7 linked regions of the Canis lupus familiaris genome follow. Each later gene encodes a partner of the first gene's protein in a complex. Links are inferred from orthologs where the notes say so. Each region holds a gene or a part of one and is shown in the gene's direction. Other genes may lie near its edges. The genes, in order: MED24, MED21, MED31, MED26, MED18, CCNC and MED20.

Region 1 (3,954 bases):
GTTTGGCACCTGCCTTTGGCCCAGGGCGCAATCCTGGAGACCAGGGATCGAATCCCACATCGGGCTCCCGGTGCATGGAGCCTGCTTCTCCCTCTGCCTGTGTCTCTGCCTCTCTCTCTCTCTCTCTGTGACTATCATAAATAAATTAAAAATAAATAAATAAATAAATAAAAATAAAAATGGGTTTAGATATACAGGAAAAGATATAGTAGGGAGCCCCCATCTACCCCATACCCAATTTCTCCTTTTATTTAGCCTCTTATGTTAGTATGGTATTTTTTTTACAATGAATGAACTACTATTGGTATGTTATTATTAACTGATATCTATGCTTTTCTCGTATTTCTTAGTTTTCACCTAATGTTCTTCTTCTGTTCCAGGACAACATCTGGGAGGGATACCAAGTTACATTTAATAATTATGTCTCCTTGGGGATCCCTGGGTGGCTCAGCAGTTTAGTGTCTGCCTTTGGCCCAGGGCGGGGTTCTGGAGTCCCGGGATCGGGTCCCACATCGGGCTCCCTGCATGGAGCCTGGTTCTCCCTCTGCTTGTGTCTCTGCCTCTCTCTCTCTCTGTGTGTGTCTCTCATGAATAAATAAATTTTAAAAAATTATGTCTCCTTAAGTTCTCTTGGCTATGACAGTTTCTTAGACTTTCCTTAATTTTAATAACCTTACCCCTATTTTCCTCCTTAGTTCTCCCCATATTCAAGCAGTATGCGGGGCCAGGAGATTCTGGGAGGACTGCCAAATCTGGGGGTTAAATGGTGATGTATGTGCAACTGATCAAGCCCCAATGTCGCCTTTGGAATACGAGAACTCTGGTATATGCAGAGGTGTAGGAGCACCAACTAATTAATTAATTAATTGATTGATTTAAAAAAAAAAAAGGCCAGAGAAGAGAAAAACGTATTACTGAACAAAAACCACACCCCTACTGTGCCTACTAGCATATAACGAAAGAGTGTCAGAATATCATTTAAATGCCTGGTCAACAGTGACGTCTTTGGGCGACGCCTGTTTACGAGCAGTCTTTTGAGAGCTCTCCCCCTCTTCGCTCCCGGAGTCTCTGTGATGCTTCAGCTCCTGCCTGTCCTTTTCCAAAGCAGAGAAACAATGCAGGCTGACTAGCTTAGTCCCTTGGGTTCTCACTAGCCCAGGCCAAGGAACTACAATTCCCAGAAGACATCGTGGAGTGACCTGTCTCTTGCCGCATTCTTATTGGCTCATGTTTGTTACTCCCAGCCAATAGAAGTTAAGCTCTTTGATAAGTGCCAAGATGGCGACACTTAGGATGTAGAACTAGCTTGTACGGTAGGCTTAAAATTGGGGAGGTGGTGGATGAAAAGGAAATAGGGAATTATAGTTTCAAGGTTGGGGGAGGTGGAGGAAATGGAGGAAAAACTGTGGGTTTGGGGTGGTAGGGGCTGAGGGACGCAGCCAGAGCTGAGGGCGTAATTAGGCATTCGTATTGGCTTAACCCCTTGCCACCCTCTTTACTCTTTATATTAAGTCCCTTTGACACCCTTTTCTTAGTGCTCCAGTTTAAGGAAGGATGATTCAGGAGGGAGGAACCTGACAGAATCTCTTCCTTGTCCTCTTCCCCATTTTTTCTTTGTAGTTCTTCTGCCTCCCTTAAATCTTCCCGTATCCGTTTCATTCAACCTGGCCCTTCTCTGTTCTTTCCTTCAGAATCTCCTCTCCCCTTCTCTTAGCTCAGTTTCTCCCACCTCAAAGCTGACTGCCATCGGCCCCTTCTCCGAGTGAAATCATGAAGGTAGTGAACTTGAAGCAAGCCATTTTGCAAGCCTGGAAAGAGCGATGGAGTGACTACCAGTGGGCAATCAACATGAAGAAATTCTTTCCCAAAGGAGCCACCTGGGACATCCTCAACCTAGCAGGTCTCAAGTGGAGTAGGAAGGAAGGATGGGAGGGCTAAACCCATAAAAATTATAACCACTCAGTCTTGCTTTGTTATTCCCCTTGCAGAAGCACTACTGGAGCAGGCCATGATTGGACCTTCCCCCAATCCTCTCATCCTGTCCTACCTGAAGTATGCCATTAGTTCCCAGGTAAACTGCCCCACCTATTCCAGAGAGTGAGGATTTGAAGGTAAAAGACTTGGAGTACAATCGTCAGCTCTCGCTTTCTAGGTGGATTTGTTTCAACACAACACTTCTCTGAGCCTCAGTTTTCTTGTGAAAATAATAATACTTCATTGGTTGTGATGAATGTTACATGAATTTATTCTATCAATAAATATTCATAAGTGTGTCAGATAGTGGTATAGGCCCTGGGGATATAGCTGTGAACAAGACCTGATCCCAGTACACACAAGGAATTTAGTGAGTAATAACAGACATAAGCAGTCACAGGATGGGTTTATTTATTTATTTATTTATTTATTATTATTATTATTTTTTAAATTTTTTTTTTTATTTATTTATGATAGTCACAGAGAGAGAGAGAGGCAGAGACACAGGCAGAGGGAGAAGCAGGCTCCATGCACCGGGAGCCTGATGTGGGATTCGATCCCGGGTCTCCAGGATCGCGCCCTGGGCCAAAGGCAGGCGCCAAACCGCTGCGCCACCCAGGGATCCCACAGGATGGGTTTATGACGAAGGTTAAGACAGTACTAGGGGAGTATGTGCGAGAGGCATGGAATTCAGCTAGGCAATCAGGAAAGGCTTTCTGGAGAAAGTGATGTTTAAACCAAGATCGTATTGTTAATAGGAGTTAGCCAGGCATATTGGTGAGAGTGTACTAAGCAGAAAGAAAAGCATATTTAGAGGCTGGGAGGCAAAAATCACATGTTGTTTAGGAACCGAAAAAAATTTATATGGGTAGAGCAGTAGTTTTGGTCTCAGGACCCTTTTATTTTCTTAAAAACTGTTGAGACTCCCACAAAGCTTTTGTTTATATGTATTACGTCTATCCATATTTACCGTTTTAGAAATGAAAACTGAGAAATTTAAAGAATAATTATGAACTTATTTAAAAGTAATAAAAAGTAAAGTCTGTTAAATAAAGCCTGTTATATTACACATTAATATAAATAACATTTTAATGGAAACCATATTTCCCAAAACAAAAAAGCTAGTGAGGAAAGTGTCATTGTTTTACGTTTTTGCAAATCTCTTTAATGGTTTAATAGAAGACAGCTGAATTTTCATATCTGCTTCTGCATTCAATTGTTGCAATAGGCTATTTTGGTTGAAGTTTATGAAGAAAATCTGGCCTTACACATCAGACATTTAGTTTGAAAAGGGCAGAGAATTTTTTTTTTTAAGATTTTATTTATTTATTCATGAGACACAGAGAGAGAGAGAGAGGCAGAGACACAAGCAGAGGGAGAAGCAAGCTCCATGCAGGGAGCCCGACGTGGGACCCGATTTCAGGTCTCCAGGATCACACCCCGGCTGCAGGCGGTGCTAAACCGCTGCGCCACCAGGGCTGCCCAGGGCAGAGAATGTTAAGCTTTTCAAATAACTGGATATTCATTGACACCAAAAATTCAACAGGTGATGTGAAACCACATAAATGAACTTAAAAATAAGTTAATTATTTTTTAAGTAAGCTCTTCATCCAATGTGGGGCTTGAACTCACTCACTACTCTGAGATCAAGAGTCTCATGCTCTGGCTCAGTTGGAGCCAGGCTCCACTCAATGAACTTTTTATACTCTGTTACATTGAAATCCATTGGTCTCTCTCTTGCATTTTGAACAGATCTTTTACTCATGCATGATTTTATAATATCACGAAGTGGTCATGTGGAAAATATCTGTTACTGGGTTACACAGATATTCCAATTGTTGACACATTTAATTATATGATTCACATGTCATGGAGCCTTTGGGATGTTCCACATACAGTTGTGGGAGAATGAGAGTAGAAAAGGCAAATAACATCTTAGCAATACTTTTTTTTTTAAAGATTTATTTATTCATAGAGACA
Region 2 (4,065 bases), on another chromosome or scaffold:
TCTGTTGTGAGATAATTGAACTCCTGCTGTTCCAATGATAGAATGAAAAGAAAATAGAACTATTTGAAGATGAAAGGAGATTAAGAGTCTGAAGTTAGACTGGTTTATAACTAGGAGATTCTCAATAAGATTAGATATTAAAGGAAACAGTTGACTTTGAGTTCAGTCATTTAAAAAATGGCAGAGAAACTTAGTGGAAATAGTTACAGATTGGAAATAAGTGAGATTCAAAAGGTCAGGACTATTGAGGGAAGCTAGTGGGGAGGATAGGAGTTTTAACTTTGCCAACTGTAAGGAACTGGTATTCTCTTGTCTTCAAAACTGTTTAAGGAATACTGTTAGAGCACTGGGAGTTTACAGCTTGAGTCACAGAGGAAAACATTTCCAAGTACTTAAGGTAGAGGGTTTTTTTTTTTTTTTTAATTGACAGAACATTAGTTTCAGGTGTACAACATAATGGTTCACTATTTGCATATATTGTGAAGTCACAATAAATCTAGTTAACATGTCACTGTACTGTAGTTATAAAGTTCATTTTTTTTCTTTTGATGAGAACTTCTAAGATAACTCTCTTAGCAATTTTAAAATATACAAACAGTATTAACCATAGTCACCATATTGTATGTTATATCCCCATGACTTAAGGGGATAGGAAGGTTGTACTTTTTTGACTCCCTTCACCCTTTTTGCCCACCATAAGCCCCACCTCACCTCTGATAACCAGGAGTCTTTGTATGTGAGCTCAGTTTTTGTTTAGATTACACATATAAGTGAAATCATGTAATATTTGTCTTTCCCTGACTTATTTCATTTAGCATAATGCCCGCAAGGTCTATTCTTGTTGCAATGGCAAGATTTCCCCCGTTTTTCTTTAATGGCTGAATGATGTGCCTGTGTGTGTGTACCACAGTTTCTTTTTTCATTCATGCATCATGGCCTTATAATTTCTTCAGGTGGAGTCTTTTCCCCACTATTTTTTTATAGTTGTAACTACTTTAGTCTCAAAAAAGGGATCAAATACTTTGTATATAAATTACATATTTTAAAATTTATCCTAAGGCCATACTTACATATTTGCCAGTAGATTTGCTTTCTTCCACCGCTACCCCCCAAAAATCCCTACTTCTGCTTGTAACAAGTGTTGGCATTTATTTCTCTTATCATTCTGTTACCTTGGGAAGAAAACAAAGATTATCTTGTATTTCCTGTTAACTGTTTCAACTATGTTGATACCAAACCTAGTTTCCTTGCGTGATTAAACATTTAATCATTGTTAATAATAACTAGCTAATTTTATCCCAGATTCTTCCTGTTTTATTCCCTTGCTTAGATATTGTTATTATAGAAACTTATTTTTGTTGCTGTTACTGGTAAAATCCTTAAAACTGATCAGTCCTTTCTAACTCTGACACATTTTCTTTGGCTTCAAGCTTGCAGATCAGTTTTGTAATGCCATTGGAGTGTTGCAGCAGTGTGGTCCTCCTGCTTCTTTCAGTAATATTCAGACAGCAATTAACAAAGATCAGCCAGCTAATCCTACAGAAGGTAAATAGATTTTCTTGGCTTCTCTTCATTTGACCTTTATAATCTTTATAATCTTTTAATATTAAATTTATTGAGAAATACAGCTTACTTATGATTTGAGAATATTACTGTAAGTTTTGTTATAAAAGATGATTTCATTAGATATTCTACATTTCGTAATTCTGTTCATGACAAAAAGCAGATTGTTATTCCTTTACAGCTGACTTTACATGAATTTAGCAGAATTTCACTTGAGGGGCCTTAATAAGGAAGGCATTCCATTTACATATTCTTTTATTCAAATGACTGACATACTGTCCTAAAAAAATGAAATAATTATGTTTAGTTCCCAATTTGAGTTAATAGTAAGGCTACTTCTCAAACATGTGATAGGGTTGGTGTGTTAGAATTACATTTTAATCATTCAAAGCATAGTACAGAAAAAGTTTATGACCTTCTCTGGTTTCATTAGGTTCAAATTTAATTTCTACTTCTGAAAACTTGACATTTCCTAATACTCTAAATGAGTAATATCTTTCTTTAGAATATGCCCAGCTTTTTGCAGCACTAATTGCACGAACAGCAAAGGACATTGATGTTTTGATAGATTCATTACCCAGTGAAGAATCTACAGCTGCTTTACAGGTAAAAATCTCTTTTCCTTTGAGAAATTTGCTAGTAGAGTATTTTGATTAAAGGAGGTGTTTTTTTTTTTTTTTTTTTTAAGATTTTATTTATTTATTCATGAGAGTGTGTAACACTGAGAGAAAGAGAGGCAGAGACACAGGCAGAGAAGAAGCAGGCTCCTTGGAGGGAGTCCGACGTGGGACTTGATCCCCAGTCTCCAGGGTCATGCCCTGGGCTGAAGGTGGCACTAAACCACTGATCCACCCAGGCTGCCCAGGAGATTTTTTTTTTTTAAGTTATCTCTACACTGAACCCATGAGGGCTTGAACTCATGACCCCAAGATCCAAGAATCACAACACTCCTCTGACTGAGCCAGTCATTGCCCCAAAGATTTAATACCTTTTGTTACAATATTCAAAGTTTCCTTAAGATTAAGTTTCATTTATTTATTTTTGAAAGATTTTATTTTTAAGTAATCTCTACATCCAACATGGGGACCGAAGTCACAACCCTGAGATCAAGAGTCACGTGCTCCACTGACTGAGCCAGCCAGGCACCCCAAGATTAAGTTTTAAAATGGAAGTTTTCTTAATTGTAAACTACTGTAGTCTATTAAAGATCATGCTGAATATATATGGTTGTCCAATTTCGAGCTATAAGGAAACTTCTTAGTCTTCTCAGTTTGGCTCTTTTCCTAGCAAAGAATGAGAGGAGAGTGGCATTCTGGGTGTGTAGAATAGTAGTGTCCAAAAGCAGTGTCACATCTAGAGTGTCACATCTAGACAGAGATCTCTAATTGAAAATTCATTCTTTTAAGTAATTCATACAGGGAAAGCTCCTTAAAAGTTACCTGATTTTAGAGTTTCTTTCTTTTTTTTTTTTTTTAAAGATTTATTTATTTATTTATTCATGAGAGACAGAGAGAGAGAGAGGCAGAGACATAGGCAGAGGGAGAAGCAGGCTCCATGTAGGAAGCCCGATGTGGGACTCGATCCCTGGACTCCAGGATCACGCCCTGATCCAAAGACATATGCTCAACTGCTGAGCCACCCAGGCGTCCCCTGATTTTAGAATTTCTGACACTGAAAAATCTATCATAATGGTTGCAGAATCATCCAGATTTAAAAATAAATACTTCTGCAGTTTTTTTTCTTCTCAACTCTTAACTAATCTCCAAGTTTTTCATTTCTCAAAAGATTTTTAAATTTGTGTCTTACAAAGGCTGCTAGCTTGTATAAGCTGGAAGAAGAAAACCACGAAGCTGCTACATGTCTGGAGGATGTTGTTTACCGAGGGGACATGCTTCTGGAAAAGATACAAAGTGCACTTGCTGATATTGCACAGTCACAACTGAAGACAAGGAGTGGTACCCATAGCCAGTCTCTTCCAGACTCATAGTACCGGTATCTACCATGTGGGTGAGAAAAGAACTATTTCAGTGCCATTAAGAGTTCTGCATCAAATTTAGATGTAAGCCTTACCAACAGTTACAGAAACATTAAGCACTATGACACATGTTACCTTTTTAGCTATTTTTTAATAGTCTTCTATTTTCACTCTTGATAAATAAGCCTCTAAAATTGCGATTGAACCAGTTTTAAACCATCATATCATTTTTTTATTATTGGAATGAAATTATTGAGGCAGATATTGCATTAATGGTTATATTATTATTAAACAGATGTACTTTAAAATTCTGTTGTGACATTTCTATTTTTATTTTTATCAAATTTCTACAGTCTTTTTTGCAAATCAAATATCCCTCAAGCCAAAGGAGAAATGGTAAATGTAGAGATATGAGACATTTCAATATAGGTTGATATCCTTCTGCCTCTTCAGAGGTGACATTATATAAATTTGGAGTTTGAGCAAGGAAGGTTTCTGAAACCATATTGCTTTTAAGAAACTTAGGG
Region 3 (3,988 bases), on another chromosome or scaffold:
AATAAAACCCAAGCCCCTTTCTATGGCTTCCAAGACCCTTTGTGAACTTGCTGCTGCTTCTTTCGCTAACGTCCTCTCTCCTGTACCACGCTTGTCCCTCGCATAGCTCCAACAACGCTGGTCTTCTTTCTGTTCCAGAACATTCCAAGATTGCTCCCGTCCAGCCCTTGCGTTGCTGTCCCAGACCCCTGCACGGCTCACTGTCCACCCACACAAGCCTCAGATCCAAGTCCCCTAACCAAGGCCTTCCCTGACACTTCTGAGTGAGGAACCCCTCCCATTACCTGTTTCCTTCAGTTACTCATTGCGATAGAAAATGGTCTTTTCATCATTTGCCGTGTGCCCCTTCACCAGTGTGAGCTCCTGAGAGCCTGGGTCCTGCCTACCTTGTCCAAGTGCCCACAGAGGAGAGGCTCCATAAATAGTACTGCCCTCCCCGCCCTCTGCGAGACCCGGGCCGGGTTCCCTTCCGAGATCACGCCTCATGGTAGATGTTGACTTTTATCTAGTCTGACCTGTATGGAAATGTGTGTGACTGGGGGTGCCCGTACAGGGCACAGGGCTTAGCATAAACAAAATACCTGCTTGGTTTGAAACACAAAGGCCAACTGGTTAATTAATGGAGGTCTGTTTCTTGCCCCTCGGTTTCCGGCCGCGGTGTGATCCTCCCAGTGGTCACGGTTTGGGTTTGCTCCCTGTCCCCGAAGTCTGGATCGTGAGGGTGGTTGGAACAACAGCCTCCCTATCCATCAGCCCATCAGGCTGGCGGAGCGTCGCGGGCCTGCGGACCTCCAGTGCTGGCTTGCTGCAAGGGGGCTCCCGGGGTCAACGGTGCGGCCACCCGGCCGACGCGCGGCGGAGGGGGCTGGCCCAGTGCCGACCCCGCACCTGCCGCACCTGCCGCACCTGCCGCACCTGCCGCACCTGCCGCACCTGCCGCACCTGCCGCACCTGCGCTCGGGTCAAGGGGGGGGTCCCTGTGGGTTGGAACGGCCGCTGGGCGTTCTCCCGGCTGAGGACTGCCCCCGCGGGAGACCCCACCGAGGGGATGTAGGCGCTCCCGGAGGCGCTCGGGACCCCCGCGGCTACGTCACTGGGCGAGCAGAGAGGCGGGGACAGGACCCCTCCCGCGCTCGGAGCGCCCCAGCTCCGCCCCTCGCCCCTTGCGAGTCTGCGCGAGGCCGGTGGGCGGGGCCCGAGAGGACCGCCCCGCCCCGCATCCCACACTGCCCCGCGACAGGAAGTGGGGCCGCAGCTTCCGGGACCTCCGGGAAGCTGCTCGTCGTGCTGGTGACGTCTCGGCGCTTTTGCTGGCGATGGCCGCGGCCGTCGCTATGGAGACAGGTAGGTAGCGGCCGGAGCCCTGGCAAACACAGCTACAGCCGGCTGGCCTCCTCCTCCAGCTTCCCCCGGGACTCCTGTGTGGCGTGACTTCGGCGGGGCTCCTGTCCGCGGCTACCTCCTCCTCGCTTGCCGCGCAGACGCCGACCACCCCTCAGCCTCAACCCCTCCCGGGCCCCGACCCCGCGGCCTCCCGACCCATCCCAGGTCCTGGCCCTCCCAGCCTCCGGGCTCTGACACCCCCCTCCCCCGGGCCTCCCAAATCCTGCCGCCCCGAACCAGTCCCCCCTCCCCGCCAGGCCCTAGCGGGAGCACACTCGCCCCCTCCTCTTGCTTAGCTTGCAGCCCTCCGCCACTGGTCACCCTGGAGGTCCTGGGGAGTGGCTGCCAGAGGGTGAACATCCTGCCCAGGGGGCGCCCGCTTCCTCGGACTTCTCCTTAAGGAGTTACTGGTCTCATTAATCAGGGCCCTGCTCTCTAGACTTGGGAGGAAACGGCCCTCTCTTCCCACATCCAGCTTAGGACAGTCATCCCTGCCTTATGCCTTCAGAGATACTCTCAGCAATACTCAGAACACTCCACTGCTGTTTTCTTTCTACAAACCAGCACTTTAGATAGTCACCTTTATTTTGTTTTTTATTTATTTTATTTATTTTTTAGTCACCTTTACTTTGGATGATTTTTGCTCACTTCCCTCCTAGATGATGCCGGGAATCGACTTCGGTTTCAGTTGGAGCTGGAATTTGTGCAGTGCCTAGCCAACCCCAATTATCTTAACTGTAAGTCCTTGAGCTCTTACTGACTTGAGTAGCTGTTAGTGATCTCTGGCAGAAGAACTGCAGTTCCTAATGATACCTATTTTTATATGTTCTCAATCCAGTGGAATTAACTGCTACGCTTATACTGGTGTGTGTGAGAACAAATTGGGACTTATGTTCAGCATTTAGTGTGTGTTGGTGGTGGGGAAGTTATATAAGTAGATGCTTTATGTGAGGGGTCACAAATCAGTAGTCCGAGGATTGGTTTGCTCTACAGATTTTTTTGTTTGTTTGTTTATGCCTTTCAGTTCTTGCCCAAAGAGGTTACTTCAAAGACAAAGCTTTTGTTAATTATCTTAAGTACTTGCTTTACTGGAAAGAACCAGAATATGCCAAGTATCTAAAGTAAGTTTAATTTTTATAGTCCTAAATATGTGTATAGTTATTACATTAAAAATACTGATATTTGACAGATTTTCTCATTTCCCATTGGAAAAAAGTATATTTTGAATCTCTCCACTTCTTTCAGTTGCCTCCACCTTAATACAGAGCCACCCCCTCTCCAGCTTGGATTATTGCGGTGTCCACCCCCCTGCTTCTCCCTGCTTGTGCTCTTACCTTCCTTCTGTGTCCTCCCTCCCGCAAGCCAAACCAAGCAAAACAGTTTTCCACAGGGAAGCCAACTTGATCTTTCAAAAATGTAAATTATGACGTGGTATTTTCTTGCTTAAAACCTCCCAGTGGTTTCCCATTGCATGTGAAACAAAATCCTCTCTCTTTTCTCAGGTCTCTCTTTATCTATCTACCACTCACCCCATCTCACTGAATTTCTGACCCTAATGAACCCACAGTCTGTAGATGCAGTGGTATTACCTGAGGCTGAAGATTAAAGAACATCAGGTACTTGGAAGGTTTTCTGGAGGAGGTGACCTTACCTGACTCTTAATATAGGCATTCCTTGGATACTGTTGATGTGGTTCCAGGCCACTGCAATGTGGTGAATATTGCAATAAAGTGACCCAAGTTTTTGGGTTCTCTAGTGCGTATAAGGGTTGTTAACACTATAGCATTAAGTCAAGAAAGAGGTACATACCTTAATTTAAAAATATTGTTAAAAAACACTGTCATCTGAGGTTTTATGGAGTCTGATCACAGATCACCCTAACAAATACAATGATAAAGAAAAGTTTGAAATGTGAGAATTATCAAATAATGACAGACATAAAGTGAGCAAATGTAGTTGGAAAAATGGTACCCATAGACTTGCTTGCTGATGGGTTGCCACACGCCTTTAATTTTTAAACAAAAAGTCCAAAAAACAAACCCAAACCAGTGTGTCTATAGCTGCTGTGCCTCCTCTGTGCCAAGCATCACACTTGTTTCAACCTTGAACCCATCCCTCTTCTTTGTCTTCACTAGGTAGTCAGAAAGCAATAGTTGAACTTCTTGTCTTTCTTTTTTTTTTTTTTTTTTTTTTTCTTGTCTTTCTTTTAAACAAACACGTTTGATAGGAAAATGATTCAGACTTGTACTTTATCCAAGTCACTTTTTATTTTTTGTATTTTTATTTTTTTTCCAAGTCACTTTTTTGATTTGTGTCAACTGATTCACAAAACCCACATCCTTCTCCCTGCAGGACCCTGTACACCCTGACTGCTCCTTTATGAACAGCCACTTATTCATTGAATAATCCGGAGAAAAGCTTTTTCATTAGCTGTTGTGTGCATGTGTAGACTTGGAGACTCCATTTGGACCTGGAGACACAGGCAAGGTCTAGTTCAGGGCTGGCCGTCTACACTCTGCATGGGTCCAGTGAGCACCTGTTCTCCATTTAGGGACAGTTGCACCATTAGCTGGGTGCTGGAAAGTTTTTCCTTATTTTGGGATAT
Region 4 (3,500 bases), on another chromosome or scaffold:
CAGGCATGAGAACATTAATCTCATTGTTCGTCGCCATCAAAGCTCTTGGGTACCATGTACACTGTCAACAAGCGGTAGTATTTTGAAAGGAATCTTTTTTCCTAAACGCGGTATGTCTCAAGAGTAGGCTTAAAATAGTCTGTAAACCATGTGGCAAATTGATGTGCTGTCATGAGGCTTTGTTGTTCCATTTCTAGAGCTCATGCAGTCAATTTGGCATAATTCTTATGGGGCCCTAGGATTTTCCAAATGGTAAATGAGCATCGGCTTCAACTTAGTCACCAGCTGCATGAGCCCCCAATAAGAGTCAGCTTGTCCTTTGAAGCTTTGAAGCCAGACATTGACTTCTCCTCTCTAGCTATGAAAGGCCAGCATCTTTTCCCAATAGAAAGCTGTTTGGTCTACATTGAAAATCTGTTGTTGGATGTAGCCACCTTTATCAATTATCTCAGCTTCTTCTTCTGGATACCTTGCTGTGGCTTCTACATCAGCACTTTCTGCTTCACCTTGCACTTTTAGGTTACGAAGTTGGCTTTTCCTTAAACCTCACGAACCAACCTCCACTGGCTTCAGACTTTGCTTCTGCAGCTTCCTCACCTCTTCCAGTTTTCAGTGAATTGAAGAGAGGTAGAGCCTTGTTCTAGACTAGGCTTTGGCTTAAAGGAATGTTATGCTGTTTGATCTTATATCCAGACTACTCAAACTTGGTCCACATCAGCAGTAAGGCAATTTTGCTTTCTTCTGCTTGTTCACTGGAATAGCATTTTAATTTCCCTCAAGAACTTTCTTTGCCTTCACAGCTTGGCTAACTGTTTGGAACAAGAGGCCTTTCTTGGTTTGGGGCTTGGGGCAGGCCTTCCTCTCACTAAGTGTACTCATTTATAGCCTTTTAAAATTATTATTAAAAGGTTTTATTTATTTGAGAGAGACGGGTAGCGAGAGAGAGCACAAGTGGGGAGGAGAGGGAGAAGCAGACTCCCTGCAGAGCAGGGAGCCCGACTTGGGGCTCAATCCCAGTATCATGACCTGAGCCAAAGGCAGACGCTTAACAGACTGAGCCACCCAGATGCCCCCCATTTCTAGCTTTTGATTTAAAGTGAGAGATGTGTGACTCTTCCTCACTTGAACACTTCGAGGCCATTTTGTAGGGTTATGGGTTGGCCTAATTTCAATATTGTTGTGTCTCAGGGAATAGGGAGACCCAAGGAGAGGAGACAGAGGAATGGCTGGGCAGCGGAGCAGTCAGAACACACACAGTATGAATCAAGTTTGCCATCTTGTATGGGTGCAGTTTGTGGCACCCCAAAACAATCACCAATAGTAACATCAAGAATCACTGATCACACAGATCACTGTAACAAATATAACAATGGAAAAATCTGAAATATGATCAGAATTACTAAAATGTGATACAGAGACACAAAGTGAGCAAATGCCGTTGGAAAAATGCCACCAACACTTGCTCAATGCAGTGTTGCTACAGACCTTCATTTGGTAAAAAACACAGAATCTGTGAAGTGTATTAAAGCAAGAACAACAAAAGGAAGTATGCCTTTATTGTTCTTTTAAACTTGGTGTTTTATTTGATAAATCTTCAGCACCCTGCCCCCCGCCCCCATGAGATGGTAGAGTAGAACACCTCTGCCATATCAAGAGCAGATCTTATTTCATGAATGTCATGGGTTTCAGCCATGTGACAACCACTTGGGCAGGCAGGCATGTCCATGGACGGGCTCATGAGCACTGGGTACCTTGTTGGCTCTGGGAGCAGGTAGGAGGAGGAGGCTGCATGGGGTGAGAACTCTGGTGTTGCTTGACTCCACTGGCCCTTGGGGAGAGAGGCCAGAATGGGCTAGAACAGGGAGAAGGGCAGAGGTTTGACAAGCGGCTCTTGTTTTGCAGATCCGGAACATGGTGGCGGTGCTGGAAGTCATCTCCAGCCTGGAGAAATACCCCATTACCAAAGAGGCACTGGAGGTGAGTGTCCCCAGGACCCAATATTGGGTGGGCAGAGCTTGGCCTCCCCCAGCCCAAGTCCTTCGTGGCTTCTTGGAGCCTTGTGCTCTCACTGGCCAGATGAGGACTTAGTAGTGCTGAGTGAGGGGGGTGCATACTCTCCTGGCCTTTGCTGTGCCCAGAAGCAGCATTTTCCTATAGGTACTGCAGGAATCGGGTGGCTTTAGTCCCAGGCCTGGGAGGCATGCCTGAGGGGTTAAGCTCCAGTGAGTGATGCTGGCTCAGGCCCTCCGTTTGCTGTTGCCTTTGCCATAGCATTTCTCCCAAAGAGCTTCCTTGGCATAGTGTCATTTCACTGGCTTTGATGGTCCACAGCCTCCAGGTCAGAAGCCTGTGGGATGGTGCTTTTTTTTTTTTTTTTTTTTTTAAGATTTTATTTATTTATTCATGAGAGACACAGAGAGAGAGAGAGAGAGAGAGAAAGAGAGAGGGGCAAGCAGAGGAAGAAGCAGGCTCCATGCAGGAAACCTGATGCGGGACTCAAGATCATGCCCTGAGCTGAAGGCAGGCGCCAAACTGCTGAGCCACCCAGGGATCCCGGGATGGTACTTTTGAAGATGCCTCCTGTGGCCCTGAGACCCTAAAGTTTAAGGACTAGATTCTTGAAGTTAGATGTCACAAAGGACACCAAATCCTTATGGGTTTTGTATCCAGGAACTCTGTGGTTTAAGGGTCAGTGGGATTAATCAAAGACTAGGGGCCCTTCCCACCGTTTCTGGCTCAGCTCCCTTTTCATGGGGGACTTCTTTCCCAAAAGCATGTCATCGTCTCTCTGGTTGTAGGAGACTCGACTTGGGAAGCTCATCAACGACGTCCGCAAGAAAACCAAGAACGAGGAGCTCGCCAAGCGGGCCAAAAAGCTGCTGCGGAGCTGGCAGAAGCTCATCGAGCCCGTGCACCAGAATGAGGCGGCGCTGCGAGGGCTGGGGGGAGGCACCGGCTCTGCCAACGGGGGTGCTCATAACTGCAGGCCGGAGGCGGGGGCGGCCGGCACGCCTAAGAGCATCCATGACCTGAAGAACCGCAATGACATCCAGAGGCTGCCTGGGCAGCGGCTGGACAGGCTGGGCAGCCGCAAGCGCCGCGGAGATCAGCGTGACCTCGGCCACCCTGGGCCACCTCCTAAGGTCTCCAAAGCCAGTCATGACTCCCTGGTACCCAATTCGTCCCCTCTCCCCACCAACGGGATCGGTGGGAGCCCCGAGGGCTTCCCTGGTACCCTGGACGGCAGTGGGCACTCGGGCCCTGAGGGCGGCCGCCTGGAGCACGGCGAGAGCGACAAGCACAGCGGCAAGATTCCGGTCAATGCCGTGCGGCCGCATACCAGCTCCCCGGGCCTAGGCAAGCCACCCGGCCCCTGCTTGCAGACAAAGGCTGCAGTGCTGCAGCAGCTGGACCGGGTGGATGAGACTCCAGGCCCTCCCCATCCCAAGGGGCCGCCTCGCTGCTCTTTCAGTCCCCGGAACTCACGGCACGAGGGCTCC
Region 5 (2,811 bases), on another chromosome or scaffold:
GAAAGTATTCAGGTTTGGCATGCAGATACCAGTGAGAAAATTTTTCTAAGTGTAGGGGCTAAGGGAAGAGGTTCTGAATAGAAATACTTTATCAAATACTTGGCAATTTTAGGAAATAACAGGAAGATCACTGTGGCTGGTGAGAGGATCTAGGGAGATAGTGGAAAGAAATGATGTTGGACTGGTAGCAGGGACCACAATGTATAGGGCCTTGTAGATGATGATAAAGACATTGGGATTTATTCTGAATGACAAGGGAAGGCATTGGAGGATTCTGAGCAGAATATCATTATCTGCTTTATATTCTAAAAAGACCACTTGGCTGTTATGGGGAGAAGGGTAGAAGCAGGCAAGAAATAAAGGAGATTTGGACTAGATGGAAATGAATGAGGGGCTGAGAAGTGGTTGGATTATGCATGTATTTTTAAAATATGGATTGGGTGTAGGATATGGGGGAAAGAAAGGAATCAGGATGATTCTGTGGTTTGGAGCCTGGGGAACTAGAAGCAGAGAGCTTCCATTCACTATGATGGGAAAGACTGCAAGAGGAATAAGATTGTGAAGGAAAAGCCAACAATTGGATACTCAACATATGAAGATGAAGATATCTGTTAGGTATCCACGTGGAGAAACTGAGTAGACAGTTGGCTATATGAGTCTATAGTTCATGAGTTAAACATGGGAGGCCTCAGGGCATAAGTGGCATTTAAAACCATAGCACCAAATTAGGTCACCTTGAGAGGAAGAGATTGTTAAAAAGAGGACCAGGATTGAGTCCTAGGATCCTTTAGTATTTAGGGAAGGTGAGAAAGATCCAGCAAAGTAGACTTAAAAGGAATGGTCAGTGAGTTAGGTAAAGAACTAAGAGTTGTGTCCCAGAGGCCAAGGGAAGAATAGATTCAAGGTGGGTATAATCTAACAACCATGTCAGATGCTGCTAGGAGGATGAATAAGATGAGAACAAAGATCAGTCTATTTTTATGGAGCACTTCATTTTCTTTTACTTAAATATTTTACAAAAAAAGGAAATGTTATAATCTATAGATCGAAAACTTGTGTTGCTAGAAATAAAAGATAATTTTTTAAATAAATGACAAGAGTACTATTATTCTCGTTGTTAAAGCCTCTGAGCCCAGAGCCCACTGGCAATTACCATTTAGGGAAGGCCTAAAGGCTTTCTAGTACCAAATAAGACAATGCAAAAAACTGAAAGGGGATTAAGTTTCTCATAGTGTTATCTAATACCTTGGCAGCATAACCCCTCTGAAATCTCATATATTGGACCTGTGCTCTACAAAACACTGCAATAAACTGTTTCGGTTTTTCATTTAAATTTTTTCAGTCTTTTGCTAATCCCAGTACTCCAAATGAAAGATGGGACTCAACAATGCTCTTTTGTTCTTCAGGAAGTGTTTTAGATCACAGTTTGGAAAGCCTCATCCATCGCCTTCGTGGTTTGTGTGACAACATGGAACCTGAGACTTTCCTTGACCATGAAATGGTGTTCCTCCTTAAGGGCCAGCAGGCTAGTCCATTTGTTCTAAGGGCTCGGCGTTCTATGGATAGGGGCGGGGCACCCTGGCATCTACGCTACCTGGGACAACCGGAAATGGGAGACAAGAACCGCCATGCCCTGGTGCGAAATTGTGTGGACATTGCAACATCTGAGAACCTCACTGACTTCTTGATGGAAATGGGCTTCCGCATGGACCATGAGTTTGTTGCCAAGGGTCACTTGTTCCGTAAGGGTATCATGAAGATTATGGTATACAAGATCTTCCGCATCCTGGTACCAGGAAACACAGACAGCACTGAGGCCTTGTCACTTTCCTATCTTGTGGAACTGAGTGTTGTTGCACCAGCTGGGCAGGACATGGTCTCTGATGACATGAGGAACTTTGCCGAGCAGCTGAAACCTCTGGTTCACCTAGAGAAAATAGACCCCAAAAGGCTCATGTGACTAAGACAGTCTGACCGCCACTGGGGCCTATCCTCACCTGTTATAAAAGAGAAGATGTTACAAATGCCCCATTTCATTACTACCAGCCAGGCATTCTTAGGAGGACAGTAAGAACTTAGTTGGGTCTTTACACTGTTTTCCTCACGTGACAAGTTCACTTTTGTGACAGCCTTTCCAAATTAAAGGCTCAGGATAACATGAGAAGTCTATCTAGTCCCTTTGTATAAAGAGAGGAAACTAGAATAAATTAGCTTTCAGAAAGAAAAATCTTTTAATTGTTTTGCTATTTGTGTGTAAGGTTTATAGAGACTGTGAGCTTGTATTGTGGGGTAATAAAGGCTATGAAGAGAAGCATCTGTGATTCCAATTCTTTATTACCCTGCTAATTCGGGGTGGATTCACTACCAATTGGAACCAAAAAAAATGACAGTTTTTTTTTTTTTTTAAGATTTTATTTATTTATTCATGAGAGACACAGAGGGAGAGGCACCATAGGCAGAGGGAGAAGCATGCTCCATGCAGGGAGCCCGATGTGGGACTCAATCCTGGGACTCCAGATTGCCCTGGGCCAAAGGCAGATGCTCAACCACTGAGCCATCCAGGCATCCCAAAAAATGACAGTTTTTAGTTTGAATCCTGATAAAGGTAATAGTTTTTACCTTTAACCAAAGTAGCACGTTCACTGAAAAACTTTTCTTTATTTATTTTTTAATATTTATTTATTCATGAGAGACACACAGAGAGAGAGGCAGAGACACAGGCAGAGGCAGAGGGAGGACCAGGCTCCATGCAGGGAGCCCAATGCCGGACTCCATTCCAGGTCTCCAGGATCATGCCCTGGGCTGAAGGCA
Region 6 (3,500 bases), on another chromosome or scaffold:
TTCATGAGAGACACAGAGAGAGAGAGAGAGAGGCAGAGACACAGGCAGAGGGAGAAGCAGGCTCCATGCAAGGAGCCTGACATGGGACTCGATCCTGGGTCTCCAGAATCAGGCCCCTGGCTGAAGGTGGTGCTAAACCGCTGAGCCACCCAGGCTGCCCCAAAGTAAAACTTTTTGAAAATAAAGTATGTAAACTAAATGAAAAAAAATTTAAATCCTTGTGAGGTCTTAGTTTTTATAAAAATGAAAGAAACCACAGAACAGATCCTCTAGAGACTATCTGTAGTCAGTCGCTTGATGAAATGTGGCATCATAGTGATTTGAATACAGTTTTCTCAAGTAGTACTTAAATGTGTATACTTATCATTTTGAGGACATAGAGGATTGATAATCAACAGTTTTTTTCATTTGTACTTAGTGACAAAAAAGAGTAATAATTATATGTTTGTGCGTGGTGTGGAAAAGTGCTGGAGAATTTTGGATGTATGTTTATACTTTTATTAAAATGTATCTTTTGATAAGAAAGTATCTATTATAGAAAGTACAGATTAGTTAAAATCCTTAAATCTCAGATGACCACTATTAACATTCTTTGGTTGTATTATCTTTTCAATTCATATATACGTATGTATGAATACATATATAATTGGTGTTCCTTCCAAGCTAAATTACTGAAAAATAAAACCAATATCATTCTAGAGCTGGAAAGATTTTAGAGATGAAAAAAATCCAAGTGATTTTTTTTTTTTATCCAACCCCTTTATTTTTTAAGCAGCAGAACCCTTTCTTAAGACATGAAGTATATAATTAAAGCTCTCTCTTAATTGTAATATAGTTAGGGCTTCCTGCCACTTAGTTCTTTCTACTTGCCTGAAGACAAAAAACAAAATCTGGGTCCCTAAGCATCTCTAAGAGCTCTTACTAAAAGTGATTTAGCCCTTCCTCTAATATTCTACACGGTGTTAAAGAAATTTTGGTTTAATTTACTTTTTCATTTTCTTAGTTTAAGTCATTTTTTTTGTTTTCTGCAGTAAAAACTAGATTTTCATATGCCTTTCCAAAGGAATTTCCTTATAGGATGAACCATGTAAGTATGTGTTATAAAAAAAAAAACAAACCTGTTTTCAAAGCTGTATAAGCTAGCTCCATTTTATGTTAGAATAAATTGAACAGTTTCCTATAAATGGCAGTTTTAAATACTACAAAAATATAAATTTTAATTCTAAATTAAAGCTAAATTCTAACTTTTTTTAAAAAAAAAAAGTACTTAATAGCAGTGGTTATCAAACCTGGATGCCCATCAAATCACTTTGGGAACTTTTTAATAATGTTAATACCAGAGGCTCTCCAGACCAACTAAAACAGAATTTTTAGGCTTGAGGCCTGGGGACTGGTATTTTCTAAAAGCTCCCAATACTAGTGTGCAGCTAGGACTGAGAACTACTATAATGGAACAATATGAAAACCATATTTGAAACTTTACATTAATTTAGAAGGTGAGTTTCTATTAACATTTTTAATAGACATCTCCTTTTTCTAACTTGTAAGAGATTTCTTCATCTCTGTAAATTGTATATTTTTGTTTTGTATTCAGTATTCTTTCCTTTTATTGATTTGTAATATAAGAGTAACACATAAATAGAGATAATTGCATTTTTTGCATTTGTTGAGTGGAAGGTGTATTGGAAAATCTGAAGTTTACACAGAATATTTTAAATTAAAGTAGTAATGCTTACATGAGGCTGACTTTTCTATAAGGATTAAAATCCTTTATAATAATAATTTCATGCATTGTATGGTAGTAAAAAAGTAATTTTTATTGGGCATGTTCATTCTGATATAAACTACTGTGTATATTTTCTTGATTTAAAAATTTTTGGTAAAAATCTATGTTACATTAATGTATGAATTGTTATGTTAGACTAAGTAGACTCATCTAATTTGTTTCATGTTGACATTTGTAATCTTTTTTTTAAAACAGATATTAGAATGTGAATTCTATCTTTTAGAACTAATGGTAAGTATATTACTTCCTTATGATTAATAGAGTAAAACTTTCAACTACAGTGAAGTCAGAAATATTTAAAGAAATGATTTGTAGGGAGGTGCATTTTAAAACCATCCAAGTTATACATGATGGTGAAATCACAGTATCTAGTAGTATCATCACCTATATCCTCTCACAAGCCTGTAAAATAATTATATATCCCACTTAGGATGGGAAAATTTTTCTGTTCTATAGTAACTATGGTAAAAGGATTACAAGCAAACCAGTCAGGACATTAAGCCACTGTAAATTATTTGCACAATTTGTGTATGTGTGTGGTGTTATTTAAAGATAGATTATGTCTTTGGCAGAATTCTGCTCCTCCAGTTGGGAATTATGGATTTATAGGCTAATAAGAGGTTTCAGTGTGTTGCAGATGTGACACTTTGAGTCTCTAAGGGAATGGATGCTGACTGACTGCCAACCGATTTACCAAGGTATATTCCAGAGAGAGCACTGCCTTCACTATTATAGTAGAGTTTAGGGCTGCCATACTGCTTGCTTAAGAGAATAAGAGGGAAGCAAGCATGACTTAGAGAAATACATTTTGAAATACACAATTATAAATCAGTTGGGTAATGATAAGTTTTTGTGTTGTAATAAATCTGTTTTTATACAATACACATTTTTTAAACTGTTTCTAGGATTGTTGCTTGATAGTGTATCATCCTTATAGACCTTTGCTCCAGTATGTGCAGGACATGGGCCAAGAAGACATGTTGCTTCCCCTTGCATGGTAATTAGAACAGAAGTTATTCATAGTGTAACATATTATTAGCTAGGAAGGTTGACAACTGAATATCAAGTTTAGTATTTTTAAAGTAATTAAACTAGTGCCCCAAGATATTGTATGTTGAGCGAAATATCTGCTCGTTGAATTTTAATTAACTATATTTATAAATGCTAAATTGGTAAGGATTCTTATTTAGTATTTCCATTAAAATTTGATTCTTATAAAAAACATTGTTTACATAAAAATTAAGACAGGTTTTCAAATAGAATGCTTTGTATTGGTATTTAATATACATATTGTATAATTTCTGGTTTCCTCTGATTTTCTAATTTTTGAAAAATTGGAAAAATCATTATATTGTAATTTACTGTAAGGTTTTAAGTTTTAAAATCTATTTAGCAAAAAAATAAAAAATTAAATTAAAATCTATTTAGCTGTAATTTTATCCATTAAAAAATGCTTATTCATTGTCATTTTCATGTATCCATCTTTTTTTCTTGATGTTTTCACCTTTATATCTATGCTTCAATAATATTAAAAGAAATAAATATGTACAAAGATGGGAACTCTGGCCCTCTCTGGAGGGAGATGTACAATCATATAAGGTGGTTCTGATTTCAGTAATAATATGATTTACATTTCTATAGGAGGATAGTGAATGATACCTACAGAACGGATCTTTGCCTACTGTATCCTCCTTTCATGATAGCTTTAGGTAGG
Region 7 (3,500 bases), on another chromosome or scaffold:
CTCCTGTAGTATGAATTCGGTAATTACAGTGAGTTTGCACAAGAACAGAATGAATGATAGATCAGCTTTGGGTTGTTTGTTTTTCAGGGTTGAAATGTTTTGCTCTGGGTTTAGCAGGAGGTAAAAGGTACCCATTGGCACAAGTGGTCAGGAGGGATGTGGAGAAAGGTTGGTGCAGAGCCTGTTGAGTTCTGGAAGTAGCAGCAGAGTGGAGGCCTATGTAAAGGTCTCTCTGCCCCATCTCGTTTCCACTGTTAAGCTCTCATTCTTGCCTAGAATATCTTTCCTTTTCTATGTGGCCAAACCCTACCTTCTCTTTGTATCATAGTTCAGGTGCTATTTTCTCCACGAAAGTTTTTCCTATTGACTCTTGCACACTTTGATCCTTTCCTGCTCTGGTCTTTTCTTCCTTCCAAAAAGATTTCTGGTCTATCCCACATAAGCGTTTTGGTCTTACTATCTCCTTAATAGTTTTTTATTGTCTTATTGTCTCTAATGAGAGTGTCAGTTTCCTGAGGTCAGGTACTAAGTCTTCTACTTGCATGCCTCTTAAACCCTAGCACGATGTTTGGGATGATTAAGTACTTAGTAAATACTTTATAGCTAAGTCTTCATGAATACTTGGGATTGTGGTAGTGTATCCATTAATTCTTACAGTGTATAAACAGGGGATCTTGCTTTCTATTTCTCAGTTAACCAAATATATGTAGCTTTCCTTCTTGCAGTAAATCTCTAGTAGTAATCAATGAGAAAACTCATTTCTCAGAGACTGGAAAGATTGGATGGGGCTTGAAATGAGACCTTCTGATTCCAGATCCTGAGTTCTTTCTGTGAAAGTGCTGATTGCTTCCCAAGTCAGCTGATGCCTTATAGCACTCCAGGGGTTCATCATTACCTTCAGGGTAAAGTCCAGACTTCTTGAGGCATGGAAAATAAGTCTTACCATAGCTTCACTCTGGCCTTCCTTTCCAGCCTCAAGCTCAGATACTCCCCTTTGCTGCTTCTGTGGGGCCTCTTCTTTTATATCAGGAAGGAGGCCAAAGGAGAAAGGGAAGGACAGAGAAGAGAGCATTTGCTTCATTTTTGTATACTCAAATGCTTTTAATATTACTTCTTATTTTCCTTATTACATAACATAGGATTATACAGAAGACTATGGGAAGTCTCTGTGGGTGATTGATTGTCATCATTAAGCACCCATCTGTGGAGCCCATCATTCAAGAACTAAACTTACCAGTGCTATGGAAGTTCCCTTATGCTCCTCATATTTCCTGGGGAATGAGCTTTTACCACATACTGCCTTGCCCACTGCTCTTCTTCCTTCCTCTTTGTGGAACAGACTGTTGGTGAGGGGATTACCCTCCATTGCCCTCCAAGATGGCTGAGGTAGTGGCAGATTGCCATCTGGCCCTGTTCCATGCATTTGACTATTCCGAGGCTTGCCAACAAAGATCCTGATGCTGATAGGCTCTCTGTCCCTGTAGGTCAGGCCGGGAAACTGATGTACGTGATGCACAACTCAGAGTACCCTTTGAGCTGCTTCGCCCTTTTTGAGAATGGCCCTTGCCTTATTGCCGACACCAACTTCGATGTGCTCATGGTGAAGCTCAAGGGCTTTTTCCAGAGTGCCAAGGCCAGCAAGATTGAGACCCGGGGTACCCGTTACCAGTACTGTGATTTCCTAGTGAAGGTGGGCACAGTCACCATGGGGCCCAGTGCCCGAGGCATCTCTGTAGAGGTAAGACCTTGGGGGAAAAGGAGCAGTATATGCTGAAGGGCTGCTCAGCAGAGGGATTGGTGGATTTCCACGTCCCTCTGAGTGCAAACCGCTGTTGATGCCTTCCTGATCCTGTCCCCAGAGCATCTGTGCTTCTCTGTCTCTGCATCTTTTATCCTTTCTTTAGTCCTTCGGGCTCTGGCCCAGGGTGAGAGTGGGAAGCTGGGGTTGCAGTGGCAGAAAGCTTAGGAAGGCTGGCTTGCTGGAGGAGGGAAGGGATAGCCAAGGGAGACAGGTTGATTGTGATGTGGAGGAACTGGTCACCTGTCACAAGGACTGGAGCAAACCAGGGGGAGACAGTGTACAGGTAACTTTTGGGTGGTGGGCCCTAAATCATGTAACTACACCCCTCTCCATGGTATACTTTAAGATAGGTCTCAAAGGTTCTGTAGCAGAGATGAGCCTTTCCTTTTGATATGCTGTCAACTTTCTTTCATGGTGGAAAGAAGTTTGTGTGGTGATTCCATCTCTGAGGTATATGTTGGAGACCGCAAAGAGGGAGTGTGGCAGTAGCTGGCTTTGGAACCAGTGAAATTCCTCAGTCTGCTATGTGCCCAGCTCTGTGTGAGGAGAAAAAAAATTAGTAAGCTATAGGGCCTGCTTTTTGAAAATGTGTGATTGAGAAAATGAGTGAATCTGAAACACACCGACTGTTTTTTAAGTTAATTTTTAAGGCATTCCCAGGCACAAATTGCTTTGGGAATTTGGGCCAATGAGAGCACTGCTGACTTTGGGGATTGGGATGCTTTCTGCAGGAGTAGCATGTAAAGAGGGATTTATAATGTAGAGATGTGGGAATAGATGAGGCCCACAAAGCATTCCAGGTGGAGAAAAGGGCCTTAGTAGTGATTACTGCTCTGAAACTCCAGTGACCTCTGGGACCAAAGTTTCCTGACTTCTTTTGGCTTGTGATATACCTTGCATTAGCTGAGTCCCACTGGGAACCCACTGTCTGCTTATCCTTCACATTTCTAGCTTTTTTAGTACAGATACATCCCAGCTCTTTTTTACTTGTTTCTCCTTATGGTTACTAGTTATTTTTCTTGCCATCCCTCCAGTGAAAAACTAGGAAAAAGGAATGAGAAAGTCTAAGGTGTATCTCCTTTGGCCCCTGCCACATGGGTTGGGAAATTACTTCTTAGAGTTAGGTGGGGTCTATCTTGGGGGTAATGTTTGGTCTTAAAGAGACTTAGTGTCTACTTTTCTCTCTGGTCACACACACACACAAACACACATCCTTACTTTTCTCTCATTCTTCATTTTCTCTCTCAGACTTTTTCTAGCTCTCCTTCGATCTTAATGCAGCATAGTAGGGACTATACAGTTCTGAGATCATCAAAAGGGGCCTGTATCAAAAGGGGACTTTTGGTCTTGTGGGTTGGGCTGTAGGTTGATAACTCCTAAGATGAGATGAGAATGCCAGAGATGCCTAAAGGGAATAATGCTGGGTATATGGAATCCCAGGTGTTTGGGTTGAGTATTTCCTGTGGAGCAACACTGTGTTAAAAGGTGTTTGTCTTTGGTTTGGGGCTGGAGAATTTAGGAGCAGGGGGTAAGAGGTATAAGAGAAGCAGAAGACCTTGTCCTTGCCTCACTCACCCTTGTTCTATGTTCTTTTGGCCCTAGGTGGAGTATGGCCCCTGTGTGGTAGCTAGCGACTGCTGGAGCCTACTGCTCGAGTTCTTGCAGAGTTTTTTAGGCAGCCACACGCCAGGAGCCCCAG

Evidence for each region.
Region 2: MED24 (region 1) and MED21 share a complex: the UniProt entries of both Homo sapiens proteins name them as parts of the mediator complex. The link is inferred for Canis lupus familiaris from reciprocal best matches to the Homo sapiens genes MED24 and MED21.
Region 3: MED24 (region 1) and MED31 share a complex: the UniProt entries of both Homo sapiens proteins name them as parts of the mediator complex. The link is inferred for Canis lupus familiaris from reciprocal best matches to the Homo sapiens genes MED24 and MED31.
Region 4: MED24 (region 1) and MED26 share a complex: the UniProt entries of both Homo sapiens proteins name them as parts of the mediator complex. The link is inferred for Canis lupus familiaris from reciprocal best matches to the Homo sapiens genes MED24 and MED26.
Region 5: MED24 (region 1) and MED18 share a complex: the UniProt entries of both Homo sapiens proteins name them as parts of the mediator complex. The link is inferred for Canis lupus familiaris from reciprocal best matches to the Homo sapiens genes MED24 and MED18.
Region 6: MED24 (region 1) and CCNC share a complex: the UniProt entries of both Homo sapiens proteins name them as parts of the mediator complex. The link is inferred for Canis lupus familiaris from reciprocal best matches to the Homo sapiens genes MED24 and CCNC.
Region 7: MED24 (region 1) and MED20 share a complex: the UniProt entries of both Homo sapiens proteins name them as parts of the mediator complex. The link is inferred for Canis lupus familiaris from reciprocal best matches to the Homo sapiens genes MED24 and MED20.

The regions. Positions count from the first base shown.
Region 1 is NC_049230.1:22,449,540-22,453,493, forward strand, and holds the start of MED24 (mediator of RNA polymerase II transcription subunit 24), read left to right. Parts: upstream 1-1,154; 5' UTR 1,155-1,313; intron 1,314-1,691; 5' UTR 1,692-1,770; coding exon 1,771-1,900; intron 1,901-1,988; coding exon 1,989-2,071; intron 2,072-3,954. UniProt on the Homo sapiens protein: Component of the Mediator complex, a coactivator involved in the regulated transcription of nearly all RNA polymerase II-dependent genes.
Region 2 is NC_049248.1:25,934,982-25,939,046, forward strand, and holds the end of MED21 (mediator of RNA polymerase II transcription subunit 21), read left to right. Parts: intron 1-1,430; coding exon 1,431-1,545; intron 1,546-2,068; coding exon 2,069-2,169; intron 2,170-3,373; coding exon 3,374-3,550; 3' UTR 3,551-3,565; downstream 3,566-4,065. UniProt on the Homo sapiens protein: Component of the Mediator complex, a coactivator involved in the regulated transcription of nearly all RNA polymerase II-dependent genes.
Region 3 is NC_049226.1:30,892,170-30,896,157, forward strand, and holds the start of MED31 (mediator of RNA polymerase II transcription subunit 31), read left to right. Parts: upstream 1-1,188; 5' UTR 1,189-1,316; coding exon 1,317-1,344; intron 1,345-2,042; coding exon 2,043-2,120; intron 2,121-2,407; coding exon 2,408-2,504; intron 2,505-3,988. UniProt on the Homo sapiens protein: Component of the Mediator complex, a coactivator involved in the regulated transcription of nearly all RNA polymerase II-dependent genes.
Region 4 is NC_049241.1:46,379,603-46,383,102, forward strand, and holds part of MED26 (mediator of RNA polymerase II transcription subunit 26), read left to right. Parts: intron 1-1,902; coding exon 1,903-1,977; intron 1,978-2,798; coding exon 2,799-3,500. UniProt on the Homo sapiens protein: Component of the Mediator complex, a coactivator involved in the regulated transcription of nearly all RNA polymerase II-dependent genes.
Region 5 is NC_049223.1:71,505,649-71,508,459, reverse strand, and holds the end of MED18 (mediator of RNA polymerase II transcription subunit 18), read left to right. Parts: intron 1-1,406; coding exon 1,407-1,960; 3' UTR 1,961-2,311; downstream 2,312-2,811. UniProt on the Homo sapiens protein: Component of the Mediator complex, a coactivator involved in the regulated transcription of nearly all RNA polymerase II-dependent genes.
Region 6 is NC_049233.1:58,015,467-58,018,966, reverse strand, and holds part of CCNC (cyclin-C), read left to right. Parts: intron 1-1,031; coding exon 1,032-1,087; intron 1,088-1,981; coding exon 1,982-2,017; intron 2,018-2,691; coding exon 2,692-2,783; intron 2,784-3,427; coding exon 3,428-3,495; intron 3,496-3,500. UniProt on the Homo sapiens protein: Component of the Mediator complex, a coactivator involved in regulated gene transcription of nearly all RNA polymerase II-dependent genes.
Region 7 is NC_049233.1:10,759,470-10,762,969, reverse strand, and holds part of MED20 (mediator of RNA polymerase II transcription subunit 20), read left to right. Parts: intron 1-943; exon of another isoform or gene 944-1,017; intron 1,018-1,234; exon of another isoform or gene 1,235-1,484; coding exon 1,485-1,738; exon of another isoform or gene 1,739-2,337; intron 2,338-3,403; coding exon 3,404-3,500. UniProt on the Homo sapiens protein: Component of the Mediator complex, a coactivator involved in the regulated transcription of nearly all RNA polymerase II-dependent genes.